Linked DNA regions of Rhinolophus ferrumequinum. The protein of the gene in region 1 interacts with the protein of each later gene in a pairwise test. Links are inferred from orthologs where the notes say so. Each region holds a gene or a part of one and is shown in the gene's direction. Other genes may lie near its edges.

Region 1 (7,882 bases):
GTACAGCCTTTGCAGTAGCAATTTCTCTCTCTTTCTCTCCCCCACCACTTTATTTCTACTTTAAAAAGTATATTTTAACCAGAAGAAAATTATGCTAAATAATCTTTAACGTAATACAGGGATATAAAGTTAACTTTTTTTTTTTTTCAATCACTTCAGATTTCTTTTGGCCTGGCTTATTCTATTTAGTGAGAGGGATGATTTTGTTGTCAAGGATACAACAGCATGTTAAGTGCTTATTCTTGCATAAGCATCTTACCTAAAATACATCCTATACATAAAAATGTTTTCATTCAATACTAGTTAAATGTTGCTAACTTTATTAAAGCTTTGACAAAGGCAATCATACAAGCTATTGTAGTAAAGTTACTGTACTTAGCAACAGTAATCATAACAATGTAATATATCTTGGCGATATGCAGTGTTAACTTAGTACTGGCATCATGAATGTAACAGCTTATTATAGTAATTCCACTGTGCAGCTAGTGTATGTAACATGTACATTTTGAAATATAGTACTTGAATTTATAACAGTTTTATTTGCTTTGGGGCATTTTAAATTGGGATATGAATTTACCAGAGTAAATGATACCACCACAATAAAAAAAAAATTGTAACATGAACTCTAAAGCTGCATTGTATTTGAGTTTGATACACTGTTTTGAGTTAAATTGTTCCAATATGGTTAGTTCACATGGGGAATGTAACCACGGTGGAAAGACAATGTTTTTATACCTTTTCTAACAAAAGAAAAATTAAGAATGGTATATTCTAATAAATAATATATTCTAATAAAAAAATCAAAATAATCCCATCATCCTGGGAAAAGTATGACAGTAGCCACCATTTGCAGAGTGCTAACACAATTGTACTCAGCATACTTGTACATAATCACTAATCGTCATAACAATCCTACAAGATGCTCAATATTGTCATTTTATGGATGAATAGAAATTAATATTCTTCCATCTCTCTGGAAGAGTGAAAATGCATGCTTCTGTAACAAAATACAAAAATAAAGAGTAATTCCAATTACTAACAATTACAGGATCCCAGCCCCGGTTCTGTCACTAATTATCCATGGAACCAGGAAGGAATCATTGAAATTCCCTAGGCCTCAATTTTTATACTTGAAAACAAAGGGAAAGGTGGTGCTTGGTAATAATCTTACTCTGCCTACTTCGTAGAGTCGTTTGAAATAATACGTAAGTGAAAATATTTGGCAAAGCACTACTCAAATATACAGTACTATCTGAATAAGAATTATCATAGGGAGAGAAGAATTTGTGAGAACAATTATATATAATGCTGACAATGATTAAGTAATAGTTTAAAACACAACAGGTAATGAGAATATTTTAATTCTTCATTTGCTGCCAGAAGGGTTATTCTTTCCCAGTGAGTTACCCAATTTGAACAGTTCTACCATGATAGTTTTTAAAGTACAAAAATGTTCTCTAGAGTCAAAAAATGCTTAAATTAATTTGAAAGTTTCAAATGGAAATGTATTATGGTACATGGGTCAAAATTAAACTTTAGTTAAATATAAATAATATTCATACACGTTACTCAGATTACCAACATGTGAAATCAAAGGAAAGTTTGTGCACAGGGCAGAAATTGTTTCTGTGTTTACAAGTTATGGCCAGCATGTACACACAGATTGCCATATTCATGGGCATACTACAAATAAACATTTTGAAGTAACATATATGTGCAAATCGATACAAGCCTTTCCCCAGGTTCCCTTACACACGTAGACCCTAGACCCGGGTAGGCAAACTTTGGGCAGTACCATCCCTGTACCAACTATACTAGTTACAACTAATAAAAGCTGTACAACTAGGTACAACTAATAAAATTCCAAAAACAGAAGGCAGCTCGGCTCTGGCCTGCAGTTTGCCCACACCTGCCTGCCCTAGACCTTCAAATAAGGCGTGTGGGTGATAGATTATACCCCAGATTCTGCAGGACCATCCTGTTTCCAAACACTTTCATTCTTTTCCACACCACATGTCAAAGCCCACATCCTAGATCCTTAAGATATTTTTAAGGCAATGCAAAAGATTGTAAAAGCAAACCCTATTTTGTCCAATTCTAAAAAACACTGTGAATCACTCTGTCCTGGAAATCTGCTGGCCTTCAATATTTCACAACTATGTATAGCAATAGAAACTGAATACCCTGTTTTCATAGAAACAGCTGAGAAAATTAGCCTATTTCACCATTTTGCCTATAACCAAACTTTTGTAAGCTATTTGGCTCAGACAGAGCCAAATTTTAAGGGGGAAAAAATCCATTTAAATAAGCTTCATTGGAACATACTACAGACAAAATGCATGATTCAGTGGTTGGTTCAAAACCTTTCTCAACACACAGACCTCTTTGAGAATCTGTTCAATTACTATCTGGGGGAAAAAAGCATATAAAAAGTGTGCATAATTTTAAAAGTTCATAGATTTCGTAAAACCTATTCATGGACTGCAGGTTTTTCCTTGTTCTCTCCCATTTTTTCCTTTTTCTTTCTTCCTTCCTAGTCATGGTTCTCTACCTACCTCCAAGTCTGTCTCCCTCCCCAGCTTCTTCCCAGTCCTATAGAAAGAAATTGGAGACCTGGGCCTGAATCCCAGCTTAATCACTTACTAGTTTTGGCTTCCCTGTTTTGGGGGAAGAAGAACTTCAAGAAAGTATGAGTAGTGTCAGAAAGGAAAGGAGGCCGAGTTCCTGGACCTTGCTGCCAGAAACAAAACTAAACTACTTGGGCCTAAGACTATCTCTGGGGTTTACCACTAGGCCCCTGTGAGGGCTCCTAACAACCTTTATAGTTACAATAGTTTAAAGTCATATTAATGATGCATCCCATATTTTCCAGGATTAATCATGATTCCAAAAGTCTGTCTTGTGGTCCCCATAAATATTCCTGTACATGCAATATCGTATGTCCTGAGTTTGCTTTGGGGAAAAAAAAAAAAACCAAACCTCAGTGTAAGTAGAGTCTACCTAGGATTATTTCACTCTTAAGTCTAATTTCTTCAGGACTGGGGAAGAGATTTCTTTGTTTCTATTATATTTTGCCTATATTCTTCCTTTCTAAATTTTGCCAATCTTCAGGAGTGGAGAAAGGATCAAACGAAGAAAATGAGATAACCATTTATTCATTCCACAAATACTGAGCACTTGAATGTGCCATGTAGTGTTCCAGATGTCAAAAGTCGCCACCCTCAAGGAGCTTTCATTTTGATGGGGAAAAAAGACAAGAAAATAAATGCATAACGAATATAGCATGTTCGGTGGTGATTAGTGCTATACAAACTAACAAAGCACAGACCATGAACAGAGTGCAGGTTGAGGGAATGAACTGCAATTTTAAATAGGTCAGGAAAGACCTACTGAGGTGATATATGAGTAAAGATGAGGAGGTGAGAGAGTATATCAATGTCACTGCTCCACTCAGGTCTCCTCCTTTCCTTTTCCACCATTTTCGTGCCACCCGTTTCCCAGTGCAGTGTGCTTTGTTCCCAACATCCAACACCCGCAGCCCTTCTTCAGAGGATGCCTAGAGATGACACAACATAGCACCAAGCCTCGCAGGGCCCTTGCCCCATCCTTCCGCCATAACCCCAAAAGCAGGAAGAAACCAGCTGGAGTTGCTGGATGAGGCCAGAGAAAGGAGGTACTGGGGTCCCTGCTGAGGCCTTCCTGTATCTTACATTAATCCTTTACGTCTCTGATGCTTTTATATTAAAAAAGCAACTTCATGTACACAATCTCAAGCACCAGACTGCCTGTTTGTTATCCTTTGATGATCTCTTGCAATCTTTCCCTTCCACACTCTCTTTAACTAATTTCTATGTATGCCTATAAAAATATTGGAAGTGGAAGACTCAGACAGGGTTTCACTTGTCCCAGTCTTTACAAACTTCTAGAGATGCCCCGGTCATTGCTGGCACACCCCAGATGGTGGCAAAGGGCAGCCCAAGAATTCACTAAGTCACTCAAAATGTCAACACTGTTTTCAAATAATTACAGGTCAGGGAGCCCATCTGTTCCTTCTTCCTCCACAGTGGCCCACAGTGGCCAGGTGTTTATACATCCAAGGAAGGGGCTACTAATTGGCAAACCAACCTACTCATGATTTAGTAGAAAGAGCCCTGGACTAGACCAGAAAGCTGCCTCAATACACTTTTTATTGAGCATCTAACAATGGGTCAAGCCCTTAGCAGGCACTGGTAATAGCAAGATGACCAATGCAGATGGCTGTACTTTTGCTTTCAAGACACTCAGAATGCACGGGAGATGACAAACACACTCCGCTACCTACAGCGGATCAGGTACAGACTACAATAAATTGTAGAAGAATCATGATGGTGGAGAGAAAGGATTATAGGGGGTCGGGAGGGCAGGGGGGCATCACAACGAGGCCTATGAGCTGGATTCAGAAAGACAGATGAGTTTAAGCTGAAAGTGGGGGACAGTCTTTCCTGGCGGAGGGAACGGAATGAGCCAAGACAGCGTTGGACACAGACTAGTGGCACCGCGGGCGCTCCAAGGGCACCCAAGCTGGAGCAAGAGGATCAGCATCTCTGGGCTTTGGCTCAGAAACCCGAGGCAATTGCACCAGCCAGACTCGCATTTGGAAACACTGAAAAGCCCGTGTTGCTGTTCGCCGAGGCTAATGCCCGGCCGTTCAAGAAGGAAGCCCTACGAGAAGCCCGTGGGGACGGAAATTCCGCGAACCGAGCGCTCCGCGCCTCCATCCTCGGCTTGCTTAGGTATACGCTCCCGCTCACAGAGAAGGAGGAAAGAAAAAGACCGGAAAGCAAAACGCGTGGAGGCGGGCGCGGCCAGCGCGGACTCAGTGGTTCCGGGGCCTCGCTCCTGGGCGACTCCCGCAGTCTTCCGGCCCCGCGCGCGCGGAGCCGAGGCCGTGGCTCCCACCCACCCGGCGCAGCTCCGCACCTCCCGCCGCGTCGCCCGCTGCCGCTGCAGCTCCTCGCGGCCGCGGAAGCCAGGCCTCTCCGGCTGTCGGGCCCCCTCCGCCCTCTCCGCCGTGACGAATCGGCGTCCAGCTGGGAAAATACCCAAACTCGGCGTTTTAAGGAAAGCCTCAAAAAAATCTTTGACTGTACGAAGCATCAGCACGTCCTCAGTAGAAGGTTTATTTTTGTAAAGAAAGTCGGGTGGGGCCTGGACAGAAATTACGAAGAGTGTTGAAAGTGCGAGTGCGGAAGCTCGGGACGCGAGGGGCGGGGCGTGTGCGGGACAAAGGGAAGCGAGGCCGGAGCTGCCGGCGCTTTTTCTGCCCGCGGGTGAGTGTTTCCGACTGGGCGCCAGTGGATCTGGAGGGTGGCAAGTCGTGGTGTTCGGGCTTGGCTGGACTCCGAGTCCCCGGGGGTTGCTGGGGCTCAGGCTTGGCCGCGGGGCCAGAGCTGGGGGCCGGTTGCGGCCTCCCTGAGGCCTAGCGGAGCGAGGGTTGGGAGGGAGCCCCATCTGGGTTCCCTCCTCCGCGGCAAGATTTGCCCCTTCCATTAACCCCGCGAAATTGGTCAAAGCAGCTATGTATACCCCGCTTTAATGGAATTGCTGGTAACGTGCATCCTCCACAACAAATCTAAAGATCCTCAGGGAGCCCTCGGGACGAGCCAAGCCCGTGGTCCTCACCCCCCAGAATGTGGTTTCCCTTTGGTTCAGGCAGCAACCTGAGGACTCACGGTCCTAGAGTGGCGTAAAGAGCGAAAGCTCTGCAACGGTTTGGCCTCGGTTTGAAACCCAAACCTGTCTCTTCCTGGCTGTGTGTTTTTTTTGAGAAGTCATTTAAACTCGAGGAGACTCCCTCTTTTCATCTGTAAAATGGGAATAACAGTGCATATCTTGTTGATAGTTGTAATTATTAAACGAGATAGTGTAAGTAATTAGCCTGTCCCGTATAAAGTATCCAACAAATACTTATCTCGTATTTTATGCCAGGCACTGGGGACGGATCCAGTGGTAGACAAGCCTGCTCTTAGAATTTATGGTATAGCAAAGGAGAATAATAATTTTAAAGAATTAACAATGAGTGATGTACCAAGGAGCTTGTGGAGGTTACTGTCAGGGCAAGGCCTGCTGGATATTGACAGCTCCCTGAATGTGAGCAGGAAGGAAATCTGCACCAGAGCCAATGGTTTCTCCCTGTTCCTTAAGGAAAGAGGAAGAGACCCAGGTTAGGCTATTGAGAAAATAAACTACAGTGTTTCTTTCCACCGCAGGCCTCTTTTATTCTTTATGCTCCAGGGAATTCCCTGAAAATGCAAAATAGAAGCAAAATCGTGTTTGGGTCACGTAATGTTGGATGCAAGTACTCTGGTAGTCATGGAAGTTACTTGCCTTTTTTCTAAAAATGAATGTGTGTGCCTGTTCGCACTGTGGGATGTATATTGACAGCAGGAACAAGCTCACATATGTATGGTAATACTAGGACAAAATTTATTAAGAATTGAGCTAGGTACTGGGACTCCAATAATCAATTAGATGGTCCCTAATCCAGGCAGCACACAATCTAGCCATATTAACAGGTATTATGTGATATAATAATAGCAGAGATGTATATGAATTGAGCAGGAGTACAGATTAGGAAACAGTTCTGCCAAGGTAATTAATCAAGAAAGCGCCACTGAGGAGGTATGTTTTGAAATGGGATGTGAAGGGTTAATAGGAGTTTGTCAAGTAGATTCTCAGAATTTATTCCCAGCAATTATAAAGCTATTTACCACTGTAAGAAAATGTAAAGCCCATTAGCATACCGTTACATTACCTTTCGCACTGCCTGGAGGAGTAAAACACACTGCGCCATTTTTATAGTTGTTACTCTTAACGGAGGGGAGAGCAGCTACTCTACTGATCAGGGAGCTGTCAGTATCTGATAGGCCTTGTTGGGGTGGGCCCTGACGATACATCACATTCTATTGTCATTATATTTTTATCAGTCTGATTAATGTGTACATGGCATCCACAAAATGTTTTCCCATACAAGAGGTGGCTCAGTGGCATAAGAAACAACTTGCACGTACATGCCTAATACTACTTTTAATATCCCTATCGTAATTTGTTTTAGTAGTTTAATTCTGATCATCCAAATGAACTAAAGAACTAGTAAAATATGCAAAAGGCTTGGTTACTAGAAGATAATGTAATTTTACTAAGAAATACCAATTAAATTACCCTATTCTTTAGGAAAACATTCTCTTATGCTTGCTGAGTTTTGATTCTCTTTTTTTTTCTTTTTTTTCCTTTTTGTTGTTTTAGTGTCTCAGATTCATTCTTAAGGAACTGAGAACTTAATCTTCCAAAATGTCAAGTAAGTTTCATTTTTTATATTTATCAATCTATATTAATAAGAGACTAATGCCCTAGCAAATGGGAATTCCAAAATACTCTCATTTTTTTTCTTCAAAACAGGACCATTGGTAGTTTTGTTGCATAGTATTATATCTCAGTTGTTTACAAGAAGTTATTTATTTTCTTTCAAACAGAAAGACCATCTTATGCCCCACCTCCCACCCCAGCTCCTGCAACAGTAAGTTTTAATTTTCTTGTTAATGTAATAGCCAAGTCTGGCCTTGATACAAAAACCCAAATGTCTTCCAGGAACAGTCACTCAATCATCACAGCAACAGGATGAAAAATTCAGCTAAAAAACAGCACTTCCTACTAAATAAAATAACTCTTTGCATCTTACCTTGAACCAACCCCAACATTTAAAGAAACATACTACTGAAATGCCAACCTCCTATGCTCAGTTCTTTTTTTTAATAGGAAATAAGTAACAAGTTTTAACACTTCTTTCTTGTTGATCTCTATTAAGAGTCTTTAAAGTTGACACTGAATGAATGCTCATTCTGGC
Region 2 (7,894 bases), on another chromosome or scaffold:
TTGATGAAGCATGAAAAATAAAAACATGTAAGAATAATCTTCCAGAGTGCCACAATTACATTAGTTATATTAAAGTCTTCAATTTAGAAAACTTAAAACATAAGACTAAGGTTTTACCTATAATTCCAGTCTTTAGTTTCGATAGAATTTTTGTTCTCAGAAATGTATGAACTTGTTATATATTCAATCCACTTAAAAGTATAGCATTTCTTTTTATGACATGGTAGCAATAAATGATTTATTTTCTTTAAATTATGGACAGAAACTTAGTGCTAATGAGTTTCATGGTATAGAATATATAACATAACATAGTATTTCATTATAGAACTGTCTTGCATTAGTGTACCTGTATATCTTATAGTTAGGCATGCAAAGGAGTCAATTTTCAACTGTAAAAAATTTCAATGCATACATTTATTAATGAAAATAACATACAAAGTGAGTGCAAATGAAAATGTAGGAATTGGAGGTAATTACTCCCCATGTACATCAATATAAGAAAATTTTCTTCAATAATTGGAGGCAAAACAGGTGAACAAAAGGAAGTTCAATCAGAAGTTTTTAAATTTGAAACGTAGTCAACATCTTCCTAATTTTAACACTCCCCCTACACACACATAATTAGAATTTCATAAAATGTATGTGAAAAGCAAGTGGAATTATGGAAAAATGCATGTATTTTGAATTTTTAATTAAATCAGTCATAATCTGTATTTCATTCCAGTTTTCTGAAAATTATTTCCTACATGGCACTTGAACTGAATTGAAGAAAATCACCAACTTCTGAAAGAAATCATATATCTAAAAGTAGGAAGAGATAGAATTATAAAAATAAAATATGTTAGATATTATTTTACACTTTCAGAAGTCATGTTTAAGTATTCATTTCTTGTAGTATATATAGAAACACAACAATTTTTTTGTGAAAACAATTAGTGTTATGTAAAAAGTGTTATTTAAAAATCAGAACAGTATATAGAATCACTAAATAACCTGCATTAGCCATAGCAAAATTGTTCTTCAAATTTTATAATGCATAATTCACGGAGAAAGGCAATTTCCTAGTTTTAAAAAGAGGAGTGTATCATAAATCATATAAATTATTGGGTATTTAGCATCTATTAATATTTTCAAAATTCTTTATTTCATAAAAACCAGTTCAAGGGCATGTTATTTCTTCGAGAAATATAGCAGAAATAATATTTTTATCCTCAGCAAAACCTTCAGAGACAAATTCCAGCTTCAATTTAATTTTCCATACTTAAATTTATATATTATGACTGTATTTTACCTAGGCAAATTTAGCAGGTAAAATGCAAAGTAAAGTTTATAATATCTGTAGCTAATGATCATATTTAATTTTAAATATTTTATTACCATCATACCTCATGTCAAATGAACAGAAGAATGGCAACTCAAAAGAATCATGATTCTGAAAATAAAATTTAAACAAAGTTTTCACATTGCTTAAGCTCTATTACACTTCAAGTAATTTTAATTAAAAATATCTTTGCATTATTATTGAATATCACTTCATTCAAACAGAAGAAATAATAGGTATGTGTGTTTATCAAATTTAAAGAGCATGTGTTTAAAGTAATTTTGATTATGTTTCTTACAAAAGATGAGCAACTTACATTTTTCATATATTCACCCTCTTGTTATAATGTGCTGCTTGATATCAAACCTTGCATAAAATACTGTTATTAATAGAATATTTTTCAGGAAAATTCAAGTATATTTTACATATATGATCAATACTATATTATATATAGTTTAAAATTAATGCTATGTAAATTCTATAATAAATTTTGTGATTTTTACCATTGTTCATGATATAGGTGAAAAAGCAACTTTCAACATCAGATTTTGTTGATGTGGACCCTAAAGTAGCTTTATAGGAAATGCTAGGGATTTTTCCTGTTATTGTATTTTTCAAAAAATTATGGTATAGAAAATAAAATCAGTGTTTTATTGTATTCCAATAATCCTAAGCAATGAAAATTTGGGGGGAAAAAAAACTTATGAGGTGATTAATATATACTTGGAAATTCAGAGGAAAAAAAGTCATATTAATTTTGGAGTGTATCAAGAACTCTTTTTTAGTCCTTTCTCCTTTGAATCACATTTTTTTCTCTTCCAAATAACATTTTCCTTATATTATGCTTTTTATTAGAAATATGGACTCCATAATTTCACTGATATTATATATTTTGGGTCTTCAATTAGAAAGACTATTCCTGTTAGCTTTATTTTAATGTGTGCCTTTTACAGAGACTCTTCCCTTTCTAATCTTTTCTACTTTTTTTTTTCCTCTCCCATACTTCTAGCCCCACAGTTCCAGAGGCTGACTGACTAAGGCATGCTGTACAGAAATTTCTGGACATGTTGTTAACATCTGACACAGTGAGTGAGAAAAAAGCCAGCAAAGTCACCAGGCAGGTTCAAGAAAAAGAGGCAGCTTCTGGAGATGAAAAGTTTGTGTGTTTTTGCTAGTTGCTAGTTACCTGCAACACACTGGGTAAATTCAAATCCATTCACTTCTCAATTGCTTGCTTTCTCTAAACCACTATAATGCAAACCAAAAGGACCTTTATGGGTGTTTTTTATTGATGTCTGCAGATCAAGTGTATCTTTAGTCTTGCCTGACATTTTCCACAATGCTTTTAGTAGACAGCACTGTATTATGTAAATATTTCTGGTTACTGTTTATGGAGGTGGTTGCCTAAATTTCTCTCTGGATAAAGCCTTTAATGCTTTCACCCAGAATCCATGGAGGAGCCATCCGAGTTTGGGAAGTTTAGTGTTGCCCTTTGTACTTCAACTTTTAATATCAGGGCACATATTGAAACCATAAACACAATGAAAATTCAAAAAATATTCCGACAATATTAGAAGAATATACCCCCTCCTTTTTTATCCTTAAAGAGCCAAGGGCATGGGGAGTGGCAGGAAGAAACATTCTTAAGATCTAAGCTCTGGACGCCATCCTGTGAGTGCTTAAAACCCTTAGAAACGTGCAACCTGAAGAACACCCCCTTTCGAAGTCTAAAACAATATTAGATTCCCAAAATATCGGCAAAGAAAGTCTTACCGTCAAATGCTTGCAGCAGGTTCCAGCTCAGACCCAGACTGAAAAGCTGAGCAGCTGGTGAACAAAAGTTTTAGCTTTTTTTTTTTTTTTTTTTTTAACGAAGTCTGCAAAACTAATTTCCCTCAAAATAGGGCTCAATTTCCGTTAAAGAAAGCAGCACTTACAAATCTCAGAATTCCTGATCACCCCCTCCCTGTCCCACCTCTAAGCCATGGAAAACAATTCGAACTTTCACACGAATGTAAAGGTTTATTGCGAAGCCACTATTCTGCTGTACGACTTAAAAGAAAAGGGAGATAGACTGAAAGCCTGAGGGACTGGGCGAGGGAAAAGGTCCTGCCTTGGGAACACTTCTCAAAGATTAATCAATACTTTTGCCCTAATTCAAAACAGATGGCCGGCCTAGTTTGCTGTCCCCATTAACCCCATTAACAACTTCAAAGACCTGTTCCCCATCCTCGGGACACCAGAGACAATGAAAATAAGGAGGCGACGCTGCTGGTGGCACATTCACATTCCGGGTCTTGGGCGGGATAGGTGAGCACGGATATTCTCCTGATGCGACCTGTCCCAGGCAGGACTCGACTGTTCCTGCAGCTCGTTACCGGGGCTTGCTTGCCTCGTGTAAAGGACTCTGCCCCCAGCAGACAATGTCGCCTCTCAAGTGGCAGAATCAAAGTCCAGCTGTCGCTCGCGCTAATTCATTGGTGGCAAGTTTTCTAACTCATTTTCTATGATGCAAGATTAACCAGGTAGATATAAAATTCCCAATTTACTGAACTTAAGGGAGGCGGGGGCTATCAAAATGTAATATTTCTCAGTAAATGGAACCACGACCAGAGCCGGAGAGGGGCAAGGGGTGCTATCAGCTGATTTATTTTTGACCGGAGAGGGTGGATTTCTGGAGGTATATGATGGGACATGGGCTGGCTCCTAAGGGGAAAGATTGGAAATGTGCGTGCAATATACACATCTCATGTGACCGGGACGAAGTCGCTTTGGAATATTCCTGACCCAGGGACAGTTCTTAGTGGACACGTGACTAGGAAATTCACCGGGACCAGGAAAGCAGGGGACAAGGCATTTGAGGTAAGCAGGGGAGAAGAGACCCCACCTGGCACCGCAGGTGACACTGCCAGAGCCTGGACATCTGCAGCTGTCCTGCCCGGTGCTACCTACCCCCCAATCCCCGCCGCCAATAGATCTCTCCTTTCCGCATTCAGAATGGCTATTTCCCGCCCGCCGGGCACATCCCTGCAACTTCGGATCTGGTGTCCGAACCCATTATCAACGCACCCACAAACACCACCTGCAAAAAGTTAGGCGCGCCACTGCGCCCAGGACATGAGGAAACGCGAAGCCAAACTAGCTCCCTTTCGTGCTCCTCAAGAGCTAGGCGTAACCCTATCTTTCCCGCAGGTGACAGTGTCCAAGTGGCACTGACAAGACACCTTTACTGAGAGAAGCGAGCGCGCTGGGCACCGGGTGAGGGGCTGTGGCTGGCGTGCACCGCCGCGCGCCTTTGCCGCCCGCGCCGGGGGAGGCGAGCCGCTGCCCCGCGGCTCGGGTTCAGGCGCCCGGCGCGCCGCTTGCACGCCTGGCGGCCGACAGGGGCGGGCGGGCGTGGACTCGCTGAGTGAGTCCAGCGGGTTAGGAAGTGGAACTGGGAGCGCGTGGCTCTCAGACTGAGCCGGAGTTTTGGAGGGAGTTTGCATGTGGTCAGCGCTGGGCTCCTAAGCCAGCCCCCAGCTCACATTACACTCTATTTATAACCTCTCAGAGCCGTTTCCCCCTGAAAGCAGTTCTCTGGGACCACCTTCTTTTGGCTTCAACCTCTCCTACTCTTGACATCTGAGTAGCTCAGAGGGAAGCTCCTTCAGGTCAGAGTGTTTATATGTAAAGGAGACTGGCCACTAGGGCTCAGGACCGGGATTATCAGAGCTCTGCAGAAACGCGGGCGGCTATTGCTCTGGGAGGGGGAAAAGTCACACGGTGTCCAGTGAAAAGTGACAGAAGGTGGTGGCGTTTGGAACCGTCGTGAAGTCTTCTGCCTGGAACCCGAGACTTGCATGCTATGGAACACCCGCTCTTTGGCTGCCTGCGCAGCCCTCACGCCACCGCGCAAGGCTTGCACCCGTTCTCCCAGTCCTCTCTCGCCCTCCATGGAAGATCTGACCATATGTCCTATCCCGAGCTCTCCACTTCTTCCTCGTCTTGCATAATCGCGGGATACCCCAACGAGGAGGGCATGTTCGCCAGCCAACATCACAGGGGCCACCACCACCACCATCATCACCATCACCACCACCACCAGCAGCAGCAGCACCAAGCTCTGCAAACCAACTGGCACCTCCCGCAGATGTCCTCCCCCCCGAGCGCGGCTCGGCACAGTCTCTGCCTCCAGCCGGACTCGGGAGGGCCCCCGGAGATGGGGAGCAGCCCGCCAGTCCTGTGTTCCAACTCTTCCAGCTTGGGTTCCAGCACCCCGACCGGGGCCGCGTGCGCGCCGGGGGACTACGGCCGCCAGGCGCTGTCACCCGCGGAGGCGGAGAAGAGAAGTGGCGGCAAGAGGAAAAGCGATAGCTCAGGTAAGGGCGCGACGGGCACCTTGGGCGAAAGGGGCGGAGAGATGTCCAGGAAGATTCTCTCTCAATAGTGAGGCAGCAGGAAAGACGGCGCAGGTCTTGCCCTTTCTGGCTTCCCGCCGCTAAATTCCGTGAGGCTGCTTTGGTCCTGTTATTGGGGGACACGTGTTTCTCCGAGCGCAACACTGTAGCCAACAGCAGAAACCTCTCCAAGGTTCAAAGTGGTTTACCAGAGTATTGAGAAAAGAAAAAAAAAGGACAAGTGACAGTATGTGAAATCGATTGAGAAGCGTGACTTTCCCTCTGAGCGATAGGGAGAGGAGTGCACCCTGGGATGCAGCGTTCGCTGAGCGTGCGTGCGGGTGTCGCTCCTTGACTTTTTCCCTTGCAAATTCCCGACTCTGAGTGGCTCGATTTTTCCCATCGTTAACCGGATTTCCAAATTATTGCACAATATTTGGAACTTGCAATGGAACTTGGCAGAGAGTATGAGAAAAAAAAAGTTTATTTATTTATTTATTTTTTATTTCTGATTTCAGAGTACTTTAAATAGTACCTATTCCAAATGGTAAAAATTTCCCTTTCTTGGGGAAGAAGACCTAATGTAGGAATTCAAAGGATTTTAAAGAACGTATCAGAGAATTGTAAATAAATACATGCTCAGACTCTTGAAGAAAGACGAGTCTTAATAGTAATTGCATTGGTGTGGTACTAGTCTTAAGAGAGAATCTGAATTTCAAAGGTGGAAAGTGATATTCTCTTCCAATTGAGAATTATCGGAGACAAGTACTGGGAAACAAACAGCAACCCCAGTAGTGCAAGTTCGCTGCATCTCTGAGGCTGGTATTCACGGGTGCGCGCAGGAGGCGCTCATCTACGTGGGGATCAATTGAATAGCCACGCAAAAGGGGAACCTTGCTGAACGCGGATGCTTGAAGGCACAGTCGCCAAGGAAACTGTAGCAATCCAGAGAAACTAAAGTTTTCCAGGTTACTTCCGAAAAGCCCTTACCTAGGTGTCTCATTATGAAATTGTTAAAAGATGCTTCACAATTAAGGGGGTTCCGAGTTTTCTTCTGCAGCTATAGCGCAACCTGAGTTCCGTCTTTTTGGAAGGTGTCATTTGTTTAATATAGTATTTACATATTTTTCTACCTTTGCGGAATTGGTTTAACAGTCCTAGAAGGTAATTCCAAATATTGGTTTGAAGGATTGACGACATGTTTATGCTTTATAATTCTTTAGGTACGATTCCTCGTTAAATGACAATGATTCAGCCGCACATTTCAGGTTCCTTTGCAGCAATGCTATCAATTGTTCTTCACCGTTAGTTATGGGAAATCTAACTTTTACTTGCCAAGGTCAAAGGTGAACTTTTAATGCTTGACTCGCAAATTAGCTTATATCTGAGAAAGTTACCAGCGGTATCACTCATATTTAATGGTTTTTACTAACCATAAGTAAAACTCTTAAGACAAAGTTGAAAGGTTAATCATAGCAAGCAATTTTCCTTCTTCATTAGAAAATAAGTCAATTTTAGAATGTAGTGATCCTTTCATAGACTCAAAATTTGATAGCAATAAAACTGCTTTTGGAAACAGAGCCGAGTTCGGATTGGTCAGTGCACTTTTGCAATTATCAAGAAGCTCTTACTGTTCATTTTACTTTCTGCAATGAGAAATCTGTGTGATGGATTGTTCCTTCTGCTTCCTGAACTGCACCACTGTACCTAACTTTCTTAGGGCAAACTGAATTTTCATATAGACACGTGTTATTTTGGTTGGGAGGAAACAGAAAAAGTGGGATCTAAGAACTGTTTCCCTTAAATTATTTTAATAACAACTTTCTTAAGAACATTGGTTATATCAATAGTTTTGCTCTCCGTTGGTGGGAAATAACCAAATTAATATAACAATGAATAATTAGAGTACTGGAAAAATAAACAAACACAAAAGTTTGCGTCAACTACATAAAATATTAAGATTACATCTTAAGTGGGAAACACGGTTAGTTATCACCAAGGATAGAATCACTGGGGAGGAAGAATGAGTGTTTTCTTTGATGAGATATTTTGAAAGAAATTTTGACTAACTAAAAGGAAATATCACAATAGTGTCTAGTTAAAAATCTATATAATGTAAAAATATGTCTAGTTAATGAAAATAAAATTTAATTTGCAATTTCATTATTTGAGTTAATTAATATTTGTTGGATCT

What was found.
Region 2: the proteins of SMARCE1 (region 1) and MEOX2 interact in binary tests that used the Homo sapiens proteins (3 or more experiments, as listed by UniProt). The two-hybrid records come from large-scale screens. The link is inferred for Rhinolophus ferrumequinum from reciprocal best matches to the Homo sapiens genes SMARCE1 and MEOX2.

The regions. Positions count from the first base shown.
Region 1 is NC_046304.1:36,993,340-37,001,221, reverse strand, and holds the start of SMARCE1 (SWI/SNF-related matrix-associated actin-dependent regulator of chromatin subfamily E member 1), read left to right. Parts: upstream 1-4,880; 5' UTR 4,881-5,309; intron 5,310-7,284; 5' UTR 7,285-7,329; coding exon 7,330-7,336; intron 7,337-7,511; coding exon 7,512-7,555; intron 7,556-7,882. UniProt on the Homo sapiens protein: Involved in transcriptional activation and repression of select genes by chromatin remodeling (alteration of DNA-nucleosome topology).
Region 2 is NC_046303.1:23,143,274-23,151,167, forward strand, and holds the start of MEOX2 (homeobox protein MOX-2), read left to right. Parts: upstream 1-4,888; 5' UTR 4,889-5,168; coding exon 5,169-5,682; intron 5,683-7,894. UniProt on the Homo sapiens protein: Mesodermal transcription factor that plays a key role in somitogenesis and somitogenesis and limb muscle differentiation. Required during limb development for normal appendicular muscle formation and for the normal regulation of myogenic genes.